Linked DNA regions of Drosophila melanogaster. The protein of the gene in region 1 purifies or fractionates together with the protein of each later gene. This does not show direct contact. Each region holds a gene or a part of one and is shown on either strand. Other genes may lie near its edges.

Evidence for each region. Proteins that work in one complex are often made in the same cells at the same time.
Region 2: the proteins of CG1671 (region 1) and CG8064 purify together in Drosophila melanogaster (affinity purification with mass spectrometry, with the first as the bait; one large-scale study listed by BioGRID). This does not show direct contact.

What each region holds. Positions count from the first base shown.
Region 1 is NT_033778.4:9,846,484-9,851,177, reverse strand, and holds CG1671 (uncharacterized protein), read right to left. Parts: upstream 3,118-4,694; 5' UTR 3,054-3,117; coding exon 3,028-3,053; intron 2,969-3,027; coding exon 631-2,968; 3' UTR 536-630; downstream 1-535. Other genes in the region: PCB (pyruvate carboxylase), read left to right, coding at 1-41; Prosalpha7 (proteasome alpha7 subunit), read left to right, coding at 3,461-3,481, 3,540-4,105, 4,273-4,447.
Region 2 is NT_033777.3:18,282,106-18,287,173, reverse strand, and holds CG8064 (uncharacterized protein), read right to left. Parts: upstream 3,515-5,068; 5' UTR 3,441-3,514; coding exon 3,283-3,440; intron 3,219-3,282; coding exon 608-3,218; 3' UTR 550-607; downstream 1-549. Other genes in the region: CG7131 (uncharacterized protein), read left to right, coding at 1-92, 154-209; CG14312 (uncharacterized protein), read left to right, coding at 3,720-3,759, 3,817-4,103.

The sequences.
Region 1 (4,694 bases):
CGAAGCTGGAGGGCGAGGACCTCATTATGATTATCGAATAGACAGTGCCACCGGATCAAAATGTCCATTGTCTAAGCTGCCACCGCACACACCCAATGTAAAATTAAGTGAAAACAGTGATAATCTTAGGGACTCTGTCAGTTCGATTGATCATAAAACTGTCCAAAGTCGCCTGTGTCTATTTTTATATGAATCAAAATCATTCATGTTTCCGTGTTTCCAGGATCAATCGACCATGAGTAACTGGTCAAATTTTTTAGCTGTCCCTGCCAAAATATATCGGATTGCATAAGTTCGTGCCCAAGTATATTTGTAAATTTGTCGTAGGGCTTTTCCCGCAAGTCATTTGAATCAAATTTGTACGATTATGGAATTTTTAATTCGCAAACACCTGTGTCGAGATTCCCCCTCTAGTAAATACGTAAGTGGTTATTAATGTTATATTAACTATTGTGTAATAAACGTTATACAAAATAAAAAGTAACGCCCTGGTTTTTGTAGTGTGAAATTGGTGATTAAACATCTCGAAACAAATATGTAATGTATGGTTATCTACTTTATTTTTTTCCTAAAATTAATTAAACTGAATTAAGTTAACAATCATGAATGAAACGGCTCCGAAGCTAAAGCCTACATGCACTTGACAATGAACTCTAGGAAAGCCAGATCCTTGTTCAGCTCGGTGACCCGCTTAAAGTGTCTCTGGACGTACGGAGTGAGTACCTCGACCATGTTGCCATTGTAGTAGAACCTCGCCTTGGGATCCAGAAGAGCATCTCCGATCAAGTACTTGAGGATCATGTTGCCCGCCTGCGAATGGCGCGAGTTGGTGGTCCATGCCTTGACGTGCTGCAGCAGCGCAACCCGCTGGTCAACGTTCAACTGGTCAACCAATTGCCGGAGACCGGGCTCATCTCGCTTGCGGACAAAGTGGTTGATAATATCGAAACTGGCTTTGGGCTTGTCCAGGTTCAGAGCCAACACGAAGGCCTTGTGAAGCTGCTTCTGGGCGTGCAGAAGGGAATGTAGGGTCTGCTCCTGCTCCAATGCGGCCTGCCGCTTGTCCAGCGCTTCGTTTCGCGTCACCTGAGTGACATCACCGAAGCGAATCAGCTTGGAGTCCGCGCCGCCGGTGTAAAAGAACCGATTGCTCCTGGCGGATACGGCCAGCGCCCAAACCCTATCGTTGTGCTCGTCCAGGGACTGCAGACATGTGTTGGTCTTGATATTCCACAGCTTAAGAAGGCCATCCGAAGCAGCGGAGATAATGAACTTGCCGTGATCCAGGAACTCGGCTCTCAGTATGGTGCACTCCTGATCGAAACGTTTTATGCACGAAAAATTGCTGATGGACCAGATGCGGAGAGTACAGTCCGACGATGAGGTGAGCACGATCTGATCCACCGGAGAGAAGCGCACACTCCACACACCGCGGGTGTGTCCCCGCAACACTCCTTGCAGCGTGTTGGACTCCGCCAGCCACACCTTAGCCGTCTTGTCTTGCGACGCGGTAGCAATAAGCTTGTTATTCGGAGCATATGCAACGCAGTTCACCTCCTTGTCGTGGGAAAGCGCTGCGTAGCGCAGGTTGAAAGAGTACGAGTTGCGATCCTCCTTACTTCTGACGAGCTGCCATACCTTCATGCTGCCATCTTGGCTCACGGATGCAAAGCCAGTAGCTCCGTTGTGCGTCATGGCCACGCAACCGATAGTGGACGTGTGGCAGTTGGCCTGTTGAGTCAGAGCCTCAAGCGAGCAATCTTTGTCGTGCTGAAGCCTCCAAAGCCGAACGCTGCAGTCCTTTCCCACCGAAATCAGCAGATTTTGGGATGCAGCAAGGGACATTACCGTATCCGAGTGACCCACGATCAGCTTGCAATTCATGTCGTGTTCCGTGTCGTACAGCTTGAAGTGCTTGCTGTTGGTGGCAACGGCCAGGTAGCGATCGTGTTCGCCCATAAAGCACATGTCTAGGATCTCGTCGTTGTAACCCACCAAGTGTTTAATGGGTTCCAGGGTTTCAACGTCGTAGACCAAAATATTCTGCTCTGTAGTGACCAGGGCCAGCTGTTTTAGCTCGCTGCAGTGCAGCAGTCTACTAATTTGGAAATCAGATTGAGAAAGAATATCCCTGATCTTCCAAGATTTAGGGTCGACCTGTTGCAGCTTGCCCGATCCGCTCGCCACGATTATCAGTTGTCCCTCGTCTGCGTACACGACTCCCTCAAGCTCATCGTACAAGGGAAGAACCTTCAACTGCTTGCTTTCCAACTGCTCCTGCAATTGCCACACGATCATAACCTTGTCCCGGCTTACAGTCACGATTTCATTGCAGTCGGACGCGTTGCTCTTAAAGCTCAAGCCGGTGACTTGCGACAGGTGACCTCGCATCTTGTGCACAAGTGTCTTCGTCTCGTAGTTCCAGGCATAGACAGTGTTATCCGAACCTCCGGCGTAGATCTCTTTGCGCAGCACATTGGGATGAAAGACGAGGAGCCAAGCGGGACCAGGGAAATCCTTGAGGGCACCCAGACAGCTGTTGTTCGAGTAGTCCCACAGCCTCAGTGTGGCATCTGCACCGCCGCTGGTGCAGATAAGCCTGCCGCAGGGACTAAACTCAACTCGGATGACTGGTCCCTTGTGCTGCGCCTTCCACAGCTTCACCAGCTTCCCAGTGTCCAGCTGCCACAGCCTAAGCAGGCCACTTCGATGGGCAGTAACCAGATGCTCCTGTGACAGCCCGAAGCAAGTAATCGTATCCTCCTCCACATCGATATTGTCCAGCTCCGCCGGCCTCTTGTTATCCGCCGACGGGGAAGACAAGCCGTAGCTATTTAGGATTTGGGAGGTCTGCACATCCACCTGGTTTACAGCTGAGCCATTGAGGCAGTAAAGATGATGGCCATTCGGGCTCCAGGCGATGTCGCCGCCGGCGTAGAAGTTCGTGTAGCGGGCCTCCGCCGCATAGCTGGATTTTAAAATTGTTGTAGTCTTGCAATCATCAGGTAATTATTAAGTTTATGTTACCTTTTCTCGCTGATACCCGCCAGCATGATTTTCGTTGTTTATAAATACAAAAACCGCGTGCGCCGCGGATCAGAACATGAACGGAACTAGTTCGAAATGTTACTTTACAGAGCATGTAAGGGGATATTCGAAATGTATAAGTAGAAAAGAAAAGAATGATATTAACTTCAACTGTGCTAAATAAATAAAGTACCATGAATTGGTGATTTATTTTTAATCATTCGAATTTTATCTGAAAAAATCGCGATTGGTATACGATTGGTTTTTATTGACGATAGTCGTTCCGAAACTATCGAACCTCCTTGACCGATAGGCCCCTTTGTTTTGTCCACCACTAGCCAAGTAAAAGCCGTCAAATCATCGTCGCATTCGACCCAAGGAATTAAACTAATTTTTGCGTTTGAATTGTTTAAATTTTCACAAAGTCTTCGCTATGAGTACTATTGGCACTGGAGTAAGTGGTCAGCGAACTACATATCTGCAGATCCCTAACGTCACCCTCTCGCTTCCAGTACGACTTGTCGGCCTCGCAGTTTTCGCCTGATGGCCGCGTTTTCCAGATCGACTACGCCTCAAAGGCGGTGGAGAAGAGCGGCACCGTAATCGGGATTCGGGGCAAGGACGCCGTGGTGCTGGCCGTGGAGAAGATCATCACCAGTAAACTGTACGAACCAGACGCCGGCGGACGCATCTTCACCATCGAAAAGAACATCGGAATGGCGGTGGCCGGCTTGGTGGCCGATGGAAACTTTGTGGCTGACATTGCGCGTCAGGAGGCAGCCAACTACAGACAGCAATTTGAGCAGGCTATCCCGCTTAAACACCTGTGCCACCGAGTCGCCGGCTACGTTCACGCCTACACTCTGTACAGTGCCGTCCGCCCCTTCGGACTTTCCATCATTCTCGCCTCCTGGGACGAAGTAGAGGGGCCACAGCTCTACAAGATCGAGCCGTCCGGCTCCTCCTTCGGTTACTTCGCCTGCGCCAGCGGCAAGGCCAAGCAGCTGGCCAAGACTGAGATGGAGAAGCTCAAGATGGATATGAGGACCGACGAATTGGTGGAGAGCGCTGGTGAAATGTACGTTTACAGCAAAAAAAAGGGACTGTTTCAAAAATCGGGCGGGCTTTATCCTAGTTCCGAGTGGAAACTTACTTGCTCTGACAATAGGAAGCATTTTTGGGACATCTATTGCACTTAGAATCTAGGTTTTTATTCATAATTAACATATCTATCCTATGTCTTAGCATCTACAAAGTCCATGACGAGTTGAAGGACAAGGACTTCCGCTTCGAAATGGGTTTGGTGGGCAGGGTAACCGGTGGCCTACATCTCATAAATCCCTCAGAACTGACGGAGAAGGCGAGGAAAGCCGGCGATGCGGCCAACAAGGACGAAGACAGCGACAATGAGACGCACTAGTTCGTTTGTGTGCCAGTGAATCTAATTCTGGGCCTCATACATAATGTTAATTTTATATTTCCCTAAAGCGCAAAATGAATAAACAAAATCGGGTGAAATTTAAGGTTTTTATATTTTTATACTCTCATTCTTTAATAGTTATCGTTCGATATAAATATATTGGCTCGCTGGTTATCGGATCTGGTTCCTTTTGAATGTGCCTGCAGCTATTAAACCTCGATTGCTACAAAGAAAAACCTTATCGCTC
Region 2 (5,068 bases), on another chromosome or scaffold:
CACATCCTACTGCCGGCCAACCGGACCTATTGAGAAGTGTACCATCCAGAAACTTAGCTACGGACCGCCAGGTGCCTTCCAGCGCTGCGGAGGTAGGTTATCACCAGATTTACTTCCTAGCATTTATAAAAAAAAATGCATAATCCCAAACAGGTCCTTGTGGAACTGGCGCTAACGATGGCACCTTTCCCAAAGCCGGCATTTGTTAGCCTGGAAATACATTATGGTTGCTCTGAAGAATCCGTCTCCCAAGCTCATCCCGAGTTCTACGTTTTATGTTCAAGCTAAATCTTTCAGTCCACGTCTTCTAAAGAGATATGTTGTTTTCTGTTGTAAATGCTTGTCAAAGGGTTCGCTTTGCGAACTGCATCCATTAATCGAGCGGCGCTATCCGTTTGCTTCGCTGCACCATCGCTTTTATCCGATTTTGTCAATCCCATATGCATATACAGAAAATTGCCGGTGATCCAATACATGGCTTATGAATTATGGTGTATTCCTCATTGTCAAATTAAACTCTGTTCACAGAAATATAGAAATCCAGTAAATCACGGAATAACTAATCGTTTTAATTGGATTTATACAACTAAGTCTAGGGTATTGCGTCTCAAACCATTTGAATCTGCAGCCTCCGCTTGCTGGCTTCTCTCCGCTTCTTATCCCGTTTCTTGCGGGTCTGTGTGGCCTCCCTGAAGAGCTGGACACCATCGCGCTGCTCCACTTCCGTTTGCAGCAGGGCCAGACCGTGCAGGTTCCATCCTAAGACATCGCGCAGCTGACCAACGTCCCGCTTGAGCATCGAGAGCAGCTTGACGAGCAGCGGCTTCATGTTCTTAGCCGCCGAAATGGGCTTCATGTGCACCTTGAACAGGAAGATGGTGACGCGGCAAAGCAGCTCCAGTTGGTCGGGTCGCTGGGTCAGCAGAGTGGGCAGGCGTTCGAGGACTTCGCACACAGTGGAGAAGGGGAGTAGAAGAAGTGCCTCCTCCAGATCGGACGCACGTATCCTCATCAGGGTGCTGACCAGGAAGTCTTCGGGATTCTTAACCTGCAAAGCCTGCATCAGAGGATGTAACTCGGGTTTCTCCTCCGCCTCGAGCTCGAACTGTTTGGATATCTCCAGACATTCGAGTATCGATTCAGCAGACTGCTCGGAACCCACTGTTTTGCGTGACGGCATCTTCAGACCCGGAAGCAAGGGAACTGTGTTGTCCTCGCCCGTGGCCAGTTGCTCATTCTCCATTTGCTCTCGCTCCTCCTCCTGCACATCCTTCAACACAATAGTCTCATCTGTTCGCTCGAACATTCTAAGAGTTCGATCTGATCCGCAGGTGACCAAATATCGGCCATTCGGAGAAACGGACAGACAATACGCTTCGCCTATGTGTCCAGGTAAGGTAAGAATCTTCTCGAAGTTATCGCCATCCCACTGCTTCACCTTTCCATCCTTTCCACACGTGAAGAACATGTGCGTCCTGGGTATAAACTGTACACTCATTACCGAATCGTCGTGTGCAAAAATGGAACGATGACAGTCTCCGAAATTTAAGCCCCAAACTTTTACGTTACGATCTGCTGATCCTGTTACAATGAGATTGGAGTCGTAGGAGATGTCCAGGCAGATCACAGGTAACTTGTGGCCGTACAGTGATAGGTAGAACTTAAAGGTGTCCAGGAAGAAAACCTTCACGGTGGCGTCCAACAAGCCCACAGCCAGGTACTTCATGTCCGGACTAACGGCCAAACAGAGCACGGTCTCCTCCAGCTTCAGTGTGTTTTTGTGCAGCAGGGACAGCACCTTGGTTTGGGCAGCACCCTCGCCGGCATCGATCAGCTCGAATGTCCAGATCTTAACCGTGGTATCGCCGCTGCCAGTGACGCAACCCTTTTGATCGGGCAGTATGGCAATGGACCAAAGTTCGCCTTCGTGAGCCGGAATCTCCTCCACTATATCAGCCGCTGCCACGTCCACAATGAGCAATTTGCCACTCTTCATGCCCAGAAGGACGTAGCGATCGCCGGGAACAAACTTCGAACAGAGGATGTAGTCCGTTGGCACAGTACGCAGGCACTGCATGGCATCTCGATCCCAGAACTTAAAGGATTCTCCAGCTCCGGAACCAATGGCCAGGGAATCGTTGCTGAAGCATACGGATCGCACTTCGGACTGGTGCCCCAGACGAGTAAGTGACCTAAGTAGTTTCGCGCTGGGATCGGTTGCTTTGCGCGTTTTGATAGACGCCTCCAGCGAGTACAAGCACAGACTGTTGTTGGCCAAACTAACAAGGACACGCAGCTCCTGGTTCTGGCCCAAAACCACATCTATGGACTTGATCTTTTGCTTGGCACGAATGCTTTCCAGTCGCTTGATTTCATCGCTCAGCGATTGTTCCGTGGACAGTTTTGCTTCGTCTGATCCCTCATCTTCGGCGACCTTTTTCTCCTTCTTTAGACGCTTAGCCAGTCGTTTCTTTACCTCGTCCGGCGTGCAGATGTAGAAGTTCTCGATTAGATCATTAGTGCCGTGGCAGCTGATCACGCGTTCACTGGGATCGGTCACCAGGTTGACGGTGCGGCCCTTTCCAGCGCGCTGGATGGTGCCGCAGTTGCTCACGCTAATGGGGCTGATGGTGTCCTCGTCATCAATAGACAGGCCTTCAACTGCAGACTCCAGAGTTTCAGTGATGGCACCGTCGTGCTTTCTCAGGCGGTAGACATTCATGCCGCTTTCGCCGGCGCCAGCTACCATTAGATTCCCAATAAAGGCCAGTGCCCAGACTTCGGTGCGGTTATCCACGATTGTCTTGAAGCAGAACTGCGTCTCCAGGTTCCAGAACTTGATCTGCGTGTCCTTCGAACAGCTTACCACTATGCTCTCGTCTACCAGACGCTGCAGGAAATGGGCGTCCGTGATGGCGGCATTGTGGCCACTCAATCGAGCTCTTCCCGCCTGCTCCACCACATCGACGACCACCAATTCGGTGTCCAGGCCTCCGCTCACCAGACGCATGCCCTGCAAATCGTACCGCAGGATGCTAACAGCGTTCTTGTGGAGTGCCAGCGTACAGATGGGATCGTAGTACCTGTCCGAGCTGAGATCGAAGATCTGCACCATGCCATCCGCATAGCCAACGGCAATGTGCAGGTGATCTGGCGAGACCCTCAGGGAGGTGACCTCGAACTTTTCGCGGCGCAGCGTCAGCTTGCGATCGCCCATTCTGGGGAAATATAAATTCATGTCAGTTTAAAAACGAAGTAAAGGAAAAGCTTAAATAGCCTTACCGCAAATCCCACACGATCACATTTTCAGCAGCTGGAGCGGCCACATATCGACCCTCTGTCTTGTCCACAACGGCAAAGTTCACATTGGCGCGGCCGGAGGTGATGATATTAAAGCTGTCTATAGCCCGGTAGGCCAAATATTGTTTAGTTAAACCCATTGCAGCATTCAAAACACATAAGGTAAATCAAAAATCGCGTTTCACGTGTTTGGAGATGGTTCCCAATCGATTGCCAGCCGTTTCTATCGATTTGTTCTTCGCAAATCAAAGCAGTTGGCAGCGCGATTGGGTGGCAACGCCGCGCGATTTCCGTTACGCGCCTGCGCTTTTAAAACTCGAAAATCTAACAAACCCACCCCAAAACGTTTAAGATAACTCTGTTTTTGGCCAGCTCAAGCTGCAGTTTTTTCACAAATAGCACAGAACAGAGATCCAAATATGTCTACCTATCCCAGTGCTTCCGCATCCCAGTCGACAGGTATTAATAACATATATTCATTTTAATGAGAACAGAAAGTAAACAAAATCGCTCTAGGAACCTCTGACCTGGACACCGAGTCCGTGGAAGTTCTGCGGGAGCGGCTGAGCACCATGAAGCGGCTGATGGCCGAGCGGACGTCCCAGCAGCAAAACAACCCGGCGACCACGGAGGAGATATTCTCCACCAAGCGCCACCGCTCGGCGGGCATCATCGATGGAAACTTCCTGAGCATCGCGTTCGGCGGAGCTCTGCTGGTGATCATCACGGTTTCGGTGTACGCCTTCTACAGTCTCTACCATGCCATACTCAAGAAGTTCCCTTCGCGCCACGAGGAGCTGTAAACGATGCCAAATTCGATGGCGGTTTTCCGCTTACACACAATTATGTACGAGTTTCTGCATTTAATAATAAATTGTAGCATGAATTTTACTATCAAAAAGTGAAAAAGCCTTGGAACGTGTGCTGTTTTGCATTCGGGTTAATCAACGCCATTTATTGGAGTTCAACTCATTACAAAAATCAATAGTCTCATCACTTTTTACACATCCATTGTTTTTTGTTTGGTTCGAATTAGACTACAACTAAACTGAAAAGGGAAAACTGAATGCATGGACAGCAAAAAAGAAAATGGGGCGTTTGGAAAATGATTTGGATATTGCTATATGGAAAACCATCAAAATATAACGCAGGTGTATAATAAAAACAAAAGACATGACACGAAACGCTGAAAAGGAACACTTGGGGGGATGGGGCGCAGATATATCTGGCGAAAACTCATGGATTTGATTTTGCTTACTCGCTAGCTAACCTCACATCTCGCCTTTTGATCATTATTATTATATATCCTTTTGCCTTAAATATTAGTGTTCGCTAAACTCCTATTTTATGTGTATGAGTTGTAGATTTCATTAATATATCGTTATGTTTTTTATTTTTTTTTTTTACTTTTTCATTTAGTTGGATAGATTTGTTGGTAGATAAATAATAACTAATATCCGTTTGTTTTTCTTTGTTTTTTCGTTTTTAATTCAAATATTATTAGTTTATGTTTCGCAATGTTCCATTTCTTGCACAGCGTAACAGTTCTACTATTTGTAATTAATAATTTGTTGTTTAAGGCGGCCATAAATCAAACCGTTTCAATTTGGATTTTCGGAATAAAACAATTTCAGAGTAGATTAGAACATTAAAAATGGCTATAAATGAACTGATACTATAGGTTTGGTTTCGCAATTTAACTGCCGCTGCGCCGCTTTGTGGATGCCGGATAAATGTTTAGGATTGGATTAGATTGGATGTTGGCTAT